Schizosaccharomyces pombe: one gene and its partners. The protein of the gene in region 4 binds, or shares a complex with, the protein of the main gene of each other region. Each region holds a gene or a part of one and is shown on either strand. Other genes may lie near its edges. The genes, in order: sft1, bos1, gos1 and ufe1.

What was found.
Region 1: ufe1 (region 4) and sft1 share a complex: the UniProt entries of both Schizosaccharomyces pombe proteins name them as parts of the SNARE complex.
Region 2: ufe1 (region 4) and bos1 share a complex: the UniProt entries of both Schizosaccharomyces pombe proteins name them as parts of the SNARE complex.
Region 3: ufe1 (region 4) and gos1 share a complex: the UniProt entries of both Schizosaccharomyces pombe proteins name them as parts of the SNARE complex.

What each region holds. Positions count from the first base shown.
Region 1 is NC_003424.3:413,698-416,639, reverse strand, and holds sft1 (SNARE protein Sft1), read left to right. Parts: upstream 1-1,800; 5' UTR 1,801-1,839; coding exon 1,840-1,956; intron 1,957-2,010; coding exon 2,011-2,169; 3' UTR 2,170-2,395; downstream 2,396-2,942. Other genes in the region: bun107 (WD repeat-containing protein), read right to left, coding at 1-877, 955-1,234; rod1 (arrestin/PY protein 1), read right to left, coding at 2,766-2,942. UniProt on the Schizosaccharomyces pombe protein: Vesicle SNARE required for retrograde transport within the Golgi complex.
Region 2 is NC_003424.3:1,923,181-1,927,101, forward strand, and holds bos1 (SNARE protein Bos1), read left to right. Parts: upstream 1-1,900; 5' UTR 1,901-1,921; coding exon 1,922-1,945; intron 1,946-1,986; exon of another isoform or gene 1,987-1,996; coding exon 1,997-2,093; exon of another isoform or gene 2,094-2,165; coding exon 2,166-2,752; 3' UTR 2,753-3,359; downstream 3,360-3,921. Other genes in the region: tos4 (transcription factor), read left to right, coding at 13-1,583; metallopeptidase Oma1, read left to right, coding at 3,559-3,921. UniProt on the Schizosaccharomyces pombe protein: SNARE required for targeting and fusion of ER-derived transport vesicles with the Golgi complex.
Region 3 is NC_003424.3:779,585-783,983, reverse strand, and holds gos1 (SNARE protein Gos1), read right to left. Parts: upstream 2,624-4,399; 5' UTR 2,498-2,623; coding exon 1,949-2,497; 3' UTR 1,843-1,948; coding exon of another isoform or gene 1,648-1,842; 3' UTR 1,547-1,647; coding exon of another isoform or gene 1,280-1,546; 3' UTR 1,182-1,279; coding exon of another isoform or gene 840-1,181; 3' UTR 565-839; downstream 1-564. Other genes in the region: atp10 (F1-F0 ATPase assembly protein), read left to right, coding at 840-1,181, 1,280-1,546, 1,648-1,842; SPOM_SPAC4G8.09 (leucine--tRNA (Leu) ligase), read right to left, coding at 2,828-4,399. UniProt on the Schizosaccharomyces pombe protein: Nonessential SNARE involved in retrograde transport within the Golgi complex.
Region 4 is NC_003421.2:1,000,143-1,003,955, reverse strand, and holds ufe1 (SNARE protein Ufe1), read left to right. Parts: upstream 1-1,622; 5' UTR 1,623-1,691; coding exon 1,692-1,811; exon of another isoform or gene 1,812-1,839; intron 1,840-1,974; exon of another isoform or gene 1,975-2,008; coding exon 2,009-2,243; intron 2,244-2,331; coding exon 2,332-2,936; 3' UTR 2,937-3,244; downstream 3,245-3,813. Other genes in the region: formin For3, read right to left, coding at 1-826; SUA5/yciO/yrdC family protein Sua5, read left to right, coding at 3,788-3,813. UniProt on the Schizosaccharomyces pombe protein: Syntaxin required for targeting and fusion of Golgi-derived retrograde transport vesicles with the ER.

The DNA of each region.
Region 1 (2,942 bases), on a different chromosome or scaffold from region 4:
TGCAAATCATAATATATATCCTCAGCATCGTCGTGATATAATGTTGGACAGCTATGATTTCGTATGTCAGAAGAATGTCTCGAGGGACAGTCCGATGATACAGAAAGATGAGATGAGGTATGCTTAGATAATGCTGCTCCCACGTCCTGATTAAAGAGGGGCTCATCCTTCCAACGAAGAATGGAGCCATCACGACTAGTACTCCATATGAAAGATTGACGAGCAACAATGTCAGAGACAGGAGCATCCTGCTTGCATATTGCAGTACAGCTTTGGTTGTTAGGCTGGTTTCTTATATCAGTACGAGTAATCAAGCCTGAGCGATCACCAGCATAAAATACTTTTAAATCTGGGTGCTCAGAATATAATGCCCATACACTGTCTGAATGAGCTATGAAAGAGAATAAACATTTTTGCGCCCTTAGAGACCAAAGCTTTATTGTAGCGTCTGAAGAGGCTGTGAGAATTGTTCTGCCATCATCACTAATTAGAATATCTCGAACATTGTCAGTATGACCGACTAAATCTGTAATCCTTTTCTTGGAAACACAATCCCATAACTGAATGTCTTTTTGTAGTCCGCCGTTAGCAATTATGTTGTTATTCGCTGCCAGCGAGTAAACACCAGATCTTGGACCAACAACAAGAGAACAGTCAGGTAACTGTTCAAATCGCATAACTTCTTGACCTACGTTGTAGTCCCATACAATTATCCTTTTATCCAACCCACCCGAAGCGACTAACGGACTCTTGGAATATTTGGGAATGCTTACGCGCTTTACGTAGTCGGTATGCTCGCCAATTGTTGATAAACAAGAAGCATTCAAGACATGTGGCTTCCAGAGTTTCACCGTTGAATCAGAAGAACAAGATATCACTAATAAATGTTAGAACGTCAATTTCTATAAGGCTACCGCTATTCTCCAGAGATAATTAAATTTTTCAAAGGCTTACCTCCTTCGGAATCATGTGTTAAAGCTATATCATTTACCCAAGCAGAATGAGCCTGGATTTTGGCTAAGGGCTGGGAAGCTTTACCATAATCATACCCGATGTCCCAACCGAAAAGCTGTCCATCTCGGCCACCACTGTAAAGTGCTCTAGTAACTGGTGCTGACCCTTGTTCTGAAAAGTACCGACCTAGCACTAGACAATTAGCATCCAAACGGTGCCCTAGTTGATCGTTACAGGAATCAAGAACATAAGTAACCTTGTACCGTTTCCGAACACTCATGAGAACAATAAATGAATTATTAATCTCTTAAAACAATGCAATTATAAACAAAAAATCCAATTCAAACGTAAAAAATAAAAATTTATATTATATGATGTCGAATTCAATTTATTGAATGAATTCAGGTTCAAAAGTATTGCAGAAAGATAGTGTGTCCTGAGTCTAAAACGCAGCGGATAAATAAACCCTTTTACTTGGAAACAGGAAACAGTAATGGATCCAAATATTTTGGTAGCGAGTACCTATACAAATATATTATATGTTTTGACTTAGCGATGAATAGCAATTCCTCAAATAACTCAGATGTTAAAGAACGGATCCTACTGCTCATTAAAAATGGATGGAAACGATGAACTTCCAAACCATTTACCTACTAATAAGTAGTCCGATCGATATTGGCATTTGATAAAGCAATAATTAGGCGGCTGATGCTAAGAATTGTAGATAACATTATGTTTGAGCTCGACGAAAATAGAATCAAGTTAGGAGATTCGTTAAAGGATTTATCACCACGTCCTAAATGTCGTTAAATTTTGGTAGTACTCCAAGTGATATAGAAAGATGCTAACGTATGTACATTCATTTTTGTAAAAGTTATTTCTATAATGAATGATCAAAATGAGCGGCGTTTGGAAACTCTGTCTGGGCAGGTTTCTTCTTTGAAAAACGTAACCTACGATATTTATTCCCGTGCCAATGACTATACTCGAATTGATCGGGCTGTATGTAATTTAAAAAAAAAAATTTGAGTTTTTACCTAACCTGTATTATTATAGACTGAAAGCTTTTCAGGACTTTCAAATTCTGTTAAAAAATCCACCGAAAATTTCTTCCGTGTGGTTCGAAGTGCCGGACGACGAAGAATCATGACAATGGTGCTGGCAATCGTAGGGAGTATACTAATAATCTACTATGCATCCAAATGGTTTTTTTAACACGACATGAAAGCGAATGCTACATAAAGGAACGGATATAATGACATAACCTCCTGCTTCAAAATTATAAAATGTACAAGCTTTGAATTCTTATAGGCAATAAATTTATCGATGAATATTCTGAAGATAAATTTGAAAATATAAGCGCAGAATTACATGAAATATTCTTAACGAAATACTACTCCTTCCTCGAAATTTCAATAAGTCCACCATAAAAGTAAAAATAATAAAAAATTTAATTATGACTGTATATCCATATTAAGCTTGATATTCCTCACTTTTAGGAAAGAGTTTTAAGCAAAGAGACGCAGTACTAATTGAATAGAATCATGACATTGTGCCACAAACTAAGTATTCATTCACCTTCAACCGGCAAAAAAAAAAAAAAAAAGATCAAAAGGAAGGGCACAAAAATAAATAATAATAAAAATTTTAACACCTTAGCTTCACGTTCAAGCTTTGTGCATGCAGACCATGAGATGTTTGTATTGATTTAGGCTTTTTTAAGAACACAGCATTCAAATGTACGGAAGTACAGGTAATGAATACTCTTTTTCCGATGTTTGCGCAAAAATTTAAAAATAGTGCTCAAAACTTCAATTTCTTCTTGAAAATCCAGATGGAAGCATACGCGCCCGTCTTAAAGCGTCTAGTGCGTTTCGGTGACTTCCTACACGAGCTGATGTGGGCCTATGCGGGGCAGAAGACGATCCATTTGGATTGGAGGCTTGAGAAAGATGAGCTAAAGAAGCACTACTGTGAGATGGGCTTAT
Region 2 (3,921 bases), on a different chromosome or scaffold from region 4:
ATATTAATTTAGGCCAATTCGTCCTCACGCCTGAGCCATCTAGTAATACATTCTATGCCCCCTCTTCGCCTGCTTCTGCAGTGAGAAGAGAGCCACTTTCTCCAATGTCTTTTGTACGGATGCGTTCACATCGCGTTAATAAAATTGGCCGTTCTAGTCAACAATGTGACCATGTCCTATCCACGGTTGATAAAGCAATTTCTCGTGTACATGCTATTGTAACTTGTACACAAGACCGCATGATTATTGAGTGCGTGGGTTGGAATGGGATGATTGTGTCTGATAAAATGAGGAAGTCAGTATTCCACATGAAGAAAAATGATCGGATTGTCCTGGTAAGACCGAATTCGGATGCTTGTCCTGTACTGGATGTATTCGGTTACCGAGTTCTTCTTGGTTGGCCAAGTGATTCTGAAGATGAATGGGAAGGAAATCTTAATGCTAAAAATTATGAAGAAAATCGTGAACCTATGTCTCCTTCACCTCAAGAAGCTTTACCTTTGATGCCTTCATCACCTCCTTCTCAAGACTATCAAAACGATCAGAATCATCTCATATTGTACACTAATTCCGAATCCATTCCTAAGCTAAACTTGCGTAGTAACGAATTAGTATATCCTCCTCCATCCAAAGATTTGTTACAAAAGCTTCTTGCCTTAGAAAAAGATGGTCAGGTGGAAAAGTCTGATTGTTCCAAAAATACACAATTAAAACCATCTTTTCTCCCAAAGAACACCGACGATTTACTCAATGGCACTGATGATAATAACATCGTTTTAAGAGAAGTTAAGGTTTCTTTTGAGAACGAAAAAATCGAGAGTGATGATCTTGATAAAAATGAGGAAATTAGTGAAGGTGAAGAATACACTCCAATTGAAGAGTCAAAAGAGCCTATAACAGTAAGACGGGATAGCGTTATACAAATTGATGAATCGTCCGCTGGACTAACGGACGTTATCTCTGAACTTAATTTTACAAACCATAATGATGACTCAAAGAATTCTAATATTACAACTTCAAATGATTCCCCAGTGAACGAAGTTGAGCCAATGGCTCCTGAATTGAGTTCAGCAGTTGTGGAAAAGAAGGAACCTGAAGACTACGAAAGCATCTCTGCTGTTGATGAGAACACTAATGACAGTAATGAATCCCTCCCTTCTAGCCATGATTACTCAGAATCAACAAAAGAAAATTCAGCTCCCGATAGCTTATTATTAGGATTGGTTTTAGATGAATTGGTTTTCTCAACAACTTCAACTACTCCCCTTCCTGCACTTTCGCATTTATTTCCTTCCAATATGCCACTTCAATTAATTCAGGACAAGCTTCGAGACTTGGCAGCCAAGCACCCCTACTTTGAAGAGGTTAAACGTTACGGAACTGATGCTAATGGTGATCCATTGTGGAGTGAATGGTTTTATAACCCAGATGTGGATGATGATTTAGAACGGCGTATGAGATATGCTCCATTAATGAGACCAGTAAGATCCTCACGTCGTGTACATAAACAATATTATTGGAAAAAGCCCCGAGCTCGTCCACGTTCATCGGGACATTCTTCTAGGCGTCGTCGTCTTTCATAACGAATTGAATGCTGGCATCAGACACGACCCCTATAAAATTTCGCTTTTTGATATTGTATACATTTCGTTATTACGAATGGAATTATTAGATTTTTCAAATGGGGTTCAACAAAATACAATTGAACTCAATAGTGATTTACATTTAATATGAATTTTGGGTAAAAAAACGCATTCTTTTTTATAAAACTGTATTTACAATGTATAGAAATAAATTGCTACTTTAAGCTATTTACAATTTTGATATAGCATTCAAGTAACGTGTTACTTGCTACATGTGTTGTCATATCAAAGACAAGAAAATAAATTACCCTCATATTGGAACCAACTACGGCAAGAGAATGAGCAATACTCTTTATAATCACGTATGTAACTTCCTAAAGTTTTAGAAAACATATTAATTTGTATTTCGCTAGTGTACAAAGTTGTTTCAGTCCATTCAGCGAAGCCTCGATGAGTTAGAACGTGGTGTTCAAGATGAGAGCAACACTATATCGTTAGCTGGAATTCAGGGTATGTGTAGATGAATAATTATGGTACTTATTTTAACCAAGTTATTCATGAGACTAATGCAAATCAATTTAGGCCAGATCTCAGCTTCATTTCTGTCATTATCCAGATCCATTGATGACTACGATAGTATGGTCCAAAGGGAATTGGTTCCCGCTAAAAAAAAAAAAGCTACAATACGAATCCAAGAGTTCCGTCAAAAGCATGTTCAGTTGTTGGAAAAATTTGATGAGTTGAAGGCACACGTTCGTGACATTGCGCAAGCAAAAAATAGAAAAGAATTGTTAGGGAGGCGTGGGTATGTGAACTCTCTTGATAGTCCCTACGGAAATTCAACAACGGATGCAGAAATTGTGGAAGGGCCATCAGATCTAAGCAGACAAGATGGTTTATTAAAGGAGCATGATTTCCTTGGTCGTGCAGAATCTCAAGTTGACGAATTTCTAGAACGTGGGCGGATGATTCTTGGTGATTTAGTTGAGCAGGGAAGCGTTTTAAAAGCTACTAAGACAAAAGTACTGAATGCCGCCAATACCCTTGGCATTACTCGCCATACTCTATCTTTAATCAACCGTAGGTCCAAACAAGACAAGATTATATTTTATTGTGGAGCATTCCTTGTATTTGTCCTCTTTTACTTGATTTACAGGTGGTTACGCTAACATGTTCATGTCGTTGGCTTGTTTAAATTTACTATTCTTATATGATATGGGGCAGTACAACAAAATCAAAGATGATTAAAAAATTTGAAGAGCTTCTTGAGAGTTAAATTTTTTATTAATTATTTTTAAAAATAAGCTATACATTTTGCACTTGTTAGCTTCTCCTTGCAAGCTATTACTGTTGTGTTTTTTTCCTTCTGTTTATGACATTCCACTAATCACGCACTTATGGGCCTTTTAAATCTAATTCTTTCTTTGTGTTTTTTTAAATCCTTAGTTTGTCAATCAATTAATACCGTTGCGGTAATGCTTGACTAAAACACCTTCTCTTCAGGCGGTTGCTTTGAAATGCTTCAATTGTGATTCCATTTCATTTTATTTTAATATCCAAGAGAAAATTAACTTACCAATGGGCAATAGTTTTTTTTCCTTAGTTTCTTCGTAATTTGCTCAGTTAAGCTATGTATTAAAAATAATAAAATAGACTAAAACTAATTGTCATCACGAACCGTTAGTTGACGACTGTTTTACACTATTTTTATTGTCAACCGTTTTCAATGCAACTTAAGAATTTGTCGAAAGCCAATTGAAATTTGTATTCATATATATTAATTTTGTACCATATATATTGTAATAACTGTATTGGATGAAGTTAACTTTTACTAAAGAAACTCGAGACACGTTTGTTAAAATTAATATCGTTAGCGATTATCCTTTCGTATACCATAATACACCAAACTATCCTCCATTCTCATCTTTTTAAATATCTAGCGCCAATATTTAGTAATTCCTATAAGAATTATTTAATGTTTTTAAATAAGTATATATCAAACTATTCCAGAACCAGGGCTGTGAGCTGCGCTCCAGTTCTATCATACAAGAAATGTAGTTATCGAAATTTCAATGGTTTATTACAGGCAAGATTTCAAAGCAACAACTTGAGTTGGTCCAATAGAAACAGAGTGGTATATAAATCATTTCAGCCCAATCCTAGAGACAAGAGGTTTCAATGGATTTTTGGTGCTCTTATTGCAGGAGGAGGTGTATACTATTTTACACATTTGGAATACGTTCCTATAAGTAACCGTCGAAGGTTTAATGATGTTTCTTTAGATTTTGAAAAGCGAATGGCACAAGACGCCTACAAAGAAGTAATGTCTGAGTACGGA
Region 3 (4,399 bases), on a different chromosome or scaffold from region 4:
TAGTTATTTTTTTGTATCACTAACTACTTTAGTAGGTTCACTTTCATAAGTGGTCAACCCCCCCACATAGTACTTGAGGTAGTAGACGAAGTCATAATTGCTATTCAAGTGAGTAATGTCTTAAAGAGAATATGGACCCCCCATTAGTACTTTCTAACCCACTTGGAAATTGAAATTGCTTTGATTTTTAAGCATTATGAATTAATATAATATTAATGCGTATTAGCTTATATAAACGATTACTAAATTATATTCTCATAGTTTTTCATGCATCTACATAAACAGTCGGCAGGGACGTAAAAAGCTACTCTTTTAACTATGATTTTGTATTGTAGTACATTAAGAAGGGTAAGTAAGGTCTTTATATTGTAATCTCTACGCCCTGGTTGACAGCTGTTTTAATAAGCTAGAATTTTTCGCTAAATGAGTTTGCTTTAAACATTGAATTAATTAGAAAGGTTTGTATTGTTCATTATCTCAGCATTCCATTTCCTATCCTTACATGCACGTTCAATGTAAGTTGAAAAGATAGTATTCAATGAAAGATTCGCAATCCAATGAAAAGCCAATTTTAGTCTTGAATTATATTACAATGAAATTAAAAGGAGAAAACCTTTATCGTAGATATATACTAATGTCCAAAAACAAATTAAAAAACCAAAATGAAAATTAAGATATGAATTTTTAACGTCAGAGTACTTCCACCTGTAACAACAGCTCCTTTCTGCTATACCTATCTATTGAAGTTTATAATAATAATTAAGTTCATCCTTGCGTTTCTTAAATCGCATAATAAATTAAAGATTATTTCCCCTTTAATCTACCTATAATTGGTAAACATGGCATATAATTATTTAAAAAATTTAGTCATTCCGAGGTTGATTGTTAAGCATCAGTTCAAGTTGCGTTCTTTTAGCACCAAAAGTCTCAATGATACAAAAGAAAAAGCCCCATCTGCTCTCATTCCAGTAGGTTTACTGGTAAAACCGACGATGCTTTCTGAAGTCCAAAAGCCAACATTATGGGAAAAACTTACCAAACCCGCGAGTACATCTTCTCCTGAGCAAAGACAGAAGGAGCTGCTGAATGAAATGAAGAGATCAACTATTCAAGATTTCAACGAAGTTCGTCGATTTAATGGTAAGCTGTTTTACAGTCCTCCAAGATTATTTAAGGAGAAGGTATGAACAATTGGTTAAAAGTAATATTCATTTCTGGAAATTTCAAATAAGAATGAAAAAAAATTAGTTTATTGCTTAAAAATATTGACACGTTTTAGAGCGCCTTATGGATGTACAACTTTCATGGGAAGTCATTACGAAATCAGTACAAAGAGCTATATAAAGATTGGCAAGGCTCGCCCTTTTTCTTTGCATTATTTAGCAACGCGTTTGGAGAAAACCAATGTAGGAATTGGATTCAACATCTAGCTCCATTTGATTATCTGCCAGTTCGTTATGCAAATGTTCAATCCAATCTAATAAAATATTGGCTACAGAAGATATTTATAGGAAAAGTTAAAAGATCAATACCAGAAAAGTGCTGGGTAAGTAGACGCATTATTTGTCCAAGCTGCTCACAAGTTTGTTCGCTTGATAAGATAGATTTATTTACTTCCAAAATTTATAACCTTTTGCTAACTAGCAGAATGAATATATTACAGCATACGACAATAAGTTCAGTTTCCCAGAAATAGGATGGAACAACAAACTTGTTGGAAATGTGTATTTAATTGACGATTCCTGCAAAATTCGCTGGCTTGGAACCGGTGATCCAACTAATGTCGAAATTGAAAACCTGAAGACAGCGATTAAGTTTTTGGTAAATAAAAACGTTGGTTAAAAGTAAAAGGACTTTTATATTATTTCATCTTAATTAAACCTTTATGACATATTCATAACTTTGGCGGGATCAATGCCCTTCATAAACGTTTCATAAAACATGCAACTTAATGAAAAAAAAGGAACAAAAGCATCAAGACAGATATGAGTAAAGCTAAAATGATAGAATCACGTCTTCGACGGATCGAGGTTTTCCTTAATATTTGATTAATAAAAGGGATTGACATGGCCGCCCCGTTTATGCGATTGGTCACATTTCCTAAGACGCTATTTTGGTAATCAAAGTCTTCCCTCGTAGCATAAGCTCTTTCAAGAAGCTCATTAGTGCCTCTAATAGAATTGTCTAAAGAGTTTGCCTCTTGCATTTCTAAAAAGTTTTGTGCATCTCGTAATTCTTCAGGAGATAGAACTTCCTGTTTCGCATCATATTTTTTCAAAACGCCATTAAGAAGTTGCTCATCTCGTTTTAGTCTTTCAAAATGTGATTTGATAGTAGCCATTGAATGCGAGTCATTTTCGTCAGCTGAAGAGTTGGCTTCTTCAAGAAGCTTCCTTCTTTCCTCTAGCAGAATTTTAGCTTGGTTAGGATCACTGTGCAACGATCTTTGGAACTGAGACGCTTTTTTCACCGAATCTCTCAAAAGCATAGACTTCATGGCTAAAGAGATCTTCAAATTTTTATAAGAGAAAAATTAGTAGCTTAAGTTATGATTTTAAAACAAACGTTTCTCTTCTGTTGATTAATGTGGCTTTCAGATGACGTTCTTACTAGTATGTAGTTTAGAGAAGTATCCCACTACGTAGAGATTCCTAAATATACCAGTGATAGAAAAGCTATGCTACTAGAAAACATTGTGATATTAAGATAGGATATTTTTCATTCAAAATGAATTTTAAGCATTAAATTAACTACGCAACCAACATTGCATTGTTATGGTAAATATCAAAATTATTTTGAAACATGAAGCTCGTGTCTCAACCAACTTTCAGTCGGTGACTAAACTGATGATTTTTTGTTTCACAAAAGATTTTAAAACTTTTTTATTAGAGAGCCAACGTTTCCCATCATTCGTCTCAAGCACAAAATTTAGTATTTCATTTTCATCATTGAGTTTGGGCATTTCAATCTTAAATCTCACCTTACCATTAATTTGGACAGGAATAGTAACGGGCTCCTCCATATTCTCCTTTTTATTTTTGGAAATGGGCCAGTTAGAGTAAACGGAAGAATTATGTCCTAGCAGCAACCAACACTCACTTGAAAAACAAGGTATTATTGGAGCAATACATTTCACAAGCACTTCCAAAGATGCTTTAATTGTTCCGATATTGACTTTGTTATTTTTTAAAGCATCTGCTATATTATTAGTCAATTTCATGGCGTCAGAAATTACTAAATTGAGAGAAAATACATTTTCATAATGAGCAGAACATTGTGAAATAAATTCATTATATTGTGATTCGAGTTTCCTGCTATTGTGATCGTCGACAATAGTTAACTTCGTTTGTCTCATCGCATCAGACATTTTTTTCTCACGTTCCAATAACTGATGAACACAATTCCATATTTTGGTTAACCACCGTTTTGTTCCCATTATTGCATTTTCATTCCAAAGGAGTACGCCTTCCACTGGAGCTGAAAATATTATGTAAGCTCTAATAATGTCTGAGCCATATTTTTGAATAGTACGTATCGGATCTACACCGTTATGCTTGCTTTTGCTCATTTTCTGGTAAGAAAGTTGAACTTTCTCTTTAGGATTACTGATTAGAAAATATTCGTCTCCAATTTTCTGGACTTCTTTTGGATTAAGTATTCGTTCATCCGACATCGTTGTATAAGTAAGACCATGAACCATCCCCTGAGTAATTAGTTGAGTAAATGGTTCATTTAAATATTTATCACCATTCCATAACCCAATATCCTTCATGAATTTTGAAAAAAACCTGGAATATAGAAGATGAAGTATTGAATGCTCAACGCCACCAATATAAATATCAACAGGCATCAAAGAGGACGCACTTGCTAAACCTACAGGAAGCTCCGAGTTTTTAGAATCCAAAAAACGAAAATAATACCATGATGAGTCTACAAATGTGTCCATAGTATCAGTTTCTCTTGTTGCTGGGCCATGACATTTCGGACAGGTTGTTTTCATCCATGTTTCTAGATTTGATAACGGCGAAGTACCTTTTTCATATATTTTATCAAGATCAGGCAACTTTACAGGAAGTTCAGATTCAGGGACTGGGACAGCACCACAGGTTTCGCAGTGAACCATTGGTATAGGAGTACCCCAAAATCTTTGTCTTGATATAAGCCAATCTTTGAGTCTATAATTTTTAACACGTTTGGCTAATTTCTTCTCTTCAAGGTAACTGACAATCTTTTGCTGAAGCATTTTTTGCTTGATATCCATTAAATTCGAAGAATCATGATGATTCAAAAGTTCTTTTCCCTCATTTGTAAAATATGAACCTATACAACTTTCTTTAGAAAATATTATGTTATTACGCTTAGCAAACTCAAAATCTCGGCGGTCGTGAATAGGTGCGCC
Region 4 (3,813 bases):
GGAATTTAAGGAGAAAAGTAGCCATGCGAGCTGAATTTAAACTTTTTGAAAGCACAGTCTCAGCAATAGTACCTAGAGCATTAAATCCTGGAACAGAGCATTTAGCTGAAGACTGATAACGACGACGGCAGTTTTCGCTGTTCAAACAGTGAAATAATGACTGTATTATTTGGGATTCAAGAGGTGTTTTAGATGCACGTTCAGGATAGTGACCCAGGTTTCTTAAAGCAGACAGTAAACTTTCAATACCATTTCTTTCAGCAAATTCATCCATCCACCAAATTGGTTGAATACGTAATTGAACGTTTAATAGCGATAAAAAATGGTAAGTAGGTGGGACTTCAACGACTTTTTCAATGAAAAAGTCTATCCTTTTTAAAATTCGATTATAAGTTGCTTCATCTAAAACAGTATGTTGGTTAGTAAGAGGAGCATCATCGTCATAAAAAGTGTAGCGCTTGGTTCGCTCGTTGGTAATCTCTTTAACAATGGTAGGTTTTGGAAATACACGGGATTCTAAAGGATAAATTTTACGTAACTGCTCAGTTTCGGATAAAAGTTTATCATTTATTTTTGTCTTTTGGTGATAAACAGTGTTGTAGCACATAACATATTCGGGGTCATTATTGTCATCGGAAGTAAGAGAGAGATCTTCTCGCGACTCAAAATCATTAGTACTTTGTAATTTAGAAAGATCTGAATTTTCAGATAGGGAAATCGTAGAGGGTGTTCCAATACGTTCGTTGGAAGAGGTAGAGTAACTGGAATTTCGAGATTGAATAGAACGACTAGTAGGGGGAGACCCTTCAGGCATTTTAGATGCCATTATGAATTAACATACCAAACTGGTAATTTGGTTGTAAAAAAGATACTAACGAAGCTGATTAAGGAATAAATGGTAAGGAAGAAAGCAATCTTTGGTGAAAGAGAAAATATATCGTAATGCAGAGCTTAAAGCTCCGCGGTAATGTCAACCAGATTTTAAAATCGTTTGGATGATTATATTAAAAAGTTGAAAGGAACGCAGGTATCAGATGTGATGCGAAAGTACAGCTTTTTAGAAAAAGGGGTAATCACTGTATATTGTATAACAATAAGCAAATACTGAAGGTTAAAATCAATTAAAGTTAATAATATTAGCCTTATTGCAATAAAATGCTTGATAAATATGCAAATTTAACGTTTCGAAGAGCGTTGGTAAAGGATGAATTTATGTCGCCCAAACCATGTTATTATATAGCAACCTCAACACCAGCAAAACAAAAACCTTATTTCTTCGAGATAAAGGACACAAACAACTTTTTTCAAGCTAAATTTTTAAAAATAACTCAAAAATTGTAAACAATTTGACTGCGCTCCATTCTTGTGAGGTGTATAACTGGTTACGTTTGTTTGTTTACTTGAAAATAGCTCATTTCTAAATACTTCAAAAATTGCGAAACTTTAGCTTAATTTCATTTATTGTAGACATCGACTTGAAGTAAATAAACAAAACTCGTACAATGGAGTATTTTTTTTTGCTTTTTTGAACATTTGTTACGAGCACCTTTAAGTCTCTCAATTCCGTTTACCGTGTCACTATTCATAAGGGGATATGGAATGCTACCATTTTCTAAACATCTGTTCTGTTAATTTGAAATTCATTTAACCCGGGATTTATATTTCTCCTTTCTTAGCATCTCAAATTCTGAATGACGAGTCGTACGAATGAGTTTTTTGGATTAACAAAAAATGGCGACATTGATGCAGCAAACATTCCTTTGAAAAGAATAAGTTATACGGATCCTTTTTTGGCTGAAGGATATAGAATTGTAAGTTTGAGGACGAGTTTTCTGTAATTATTGAACCAATCGGAAATTTAACCTCAACTCAATTGATCACTGTGGAGATGCGCTACCATAATATACGATTAATTATTGAGTGGGATTGGTTTAAATTTTTGACAGTATTAACTTTTGTTATTGCTTTCTATATCTAATCAGAGAGTTCAAATTGCTAACGTTAGCAGCATGAAACGATTGTTAATCTTCTAGTATTTTTGAAAAAGATTCGTGGAGCTTATTTAAAGGACAGAACATTTTCAAATGTCCAAAGACTCTCAAAACCTTTAATGGAGTGTTCACTTGAGGAGCTTTCAAAGCTTGAGCTAGATGAGGTTCAAAGGGATGAAATAGAACATGAAGTCTCTTCGGCAATCAGTAGCTGTATTCATCAAATAGCTAAGTTGCAGGAGATTGTGAAAGGTAAGCTTAAAATTTTAATACTGGTAAAATTATGTTTACTTAAATTATAAACAAAACACAGGGACATGCTTGCTAATTGCATGAGTAGAACAACAAAGTCAAATCCCTAAAAAAAGTGGTTGGCTGCAAGGTTTAAGAGACCCTAGTAAATTATCGAAAAAGGAAACTTTAGTCGCCCACCATTCATCTGTTCTGTGGTATCTGCAGTCTGAACTTTCCGATGTTTCTTCTGTTCTATATCATTTACAAGATCTGAGATTAAAACGAGGTCAGGAAAAGCGAAACATTGCTTCAGACTTTTTAACAAAAAATCCTACTGATGAAAATTCAGCTGTTGAGATCCCTGAATCTGAATTACAAACATTTTTTACTCAACAGCAACTTCAAGAACTTGAGCAAGAGAACGATGTTTTACTCCAAGAATTTGAACATACTATGGAACGTTTACGTGATACAGGGAAATCTTTGGCTGATATTACTAGACTTCAGTCGGAAATATCCGCTCAACTATCTATTCAATCAAGTGCGGCTGAAAAACTTTATGATGATGCCCTTAATGTCATGGATTCGCTGTCTGGGGGTAATCAACAACTAATCAAGGCCAAATCTAGAAGTAGTCGGACCGCTCGTCTGCTTTTTTGCATCTTTACCGTTATGGGACTTTTATTGCTATCCTTGGATCGTATTGTTTAATTCTCTTCATTCTTCTGAAACTTTATATTGTAACAATAATGACAAAGGAATGAAACTCGTTCTTCTTTGATCATGTGAAGTTCATGTCTATAATCTCATGTAAATATAATGTTTATGCTTATTCTTTCGACCATTCCTTGCACGCCCAAATAAAAATTCCTTATAATTCATCTTGGGTACGTTAGTTTTCCAAAAATTTTCTGGCCATTTACTATGAAATAGATTATGGTAAAATTGTAGCTTGAAAAATCTAGTATGATCGAATGTTTATAGAAGTTCACAATCAGTCTCGATTAATTCAAAGTCAAATTTGTTTGTTAAACATTCAGCTATATAATTTAGATTGATGCATTGGACATTAGCAAATTAACTAAATGCTTAGTCAAAAGGGATGTATTGGAAGAATATATTCTTACCCTGCCAAATAACAGAAACGATAAAAAAAAACCCACAAATAAAAACAGTAAGTGGGTTCTTTTCATTCGTGAAATCATTGTCGCGCTTACATTTCTTTTTTACAACCTCTGTAGCTAAATTCAAATTTTAAGTAAAGATCGTCGTCAATCACTACTCTAGTAAAATTTCTCAAACGAGATTTTATTTTCGTATTTAGAGTAAAATAATCTTGAGTTTTTAAATATATCTTCAACAATTATTTCTCTTACTTTGCAAGAGTCGACAACCAGCAATGATGCGCTTCAACTTAATAATAGCAATCAACTTCACCCTTCTCTCTATCAGCATTTAGCTTCTTCTTTCTAAATCAATTAACATAAAACAAGCTGAAGTATTACAATTTTATAGCAAAATTGGCCTCAGTAAGCCAGAAACTTAGGTTTTCTTCCTTGACAATGGAAACAAAAATTCAAACAGTTGA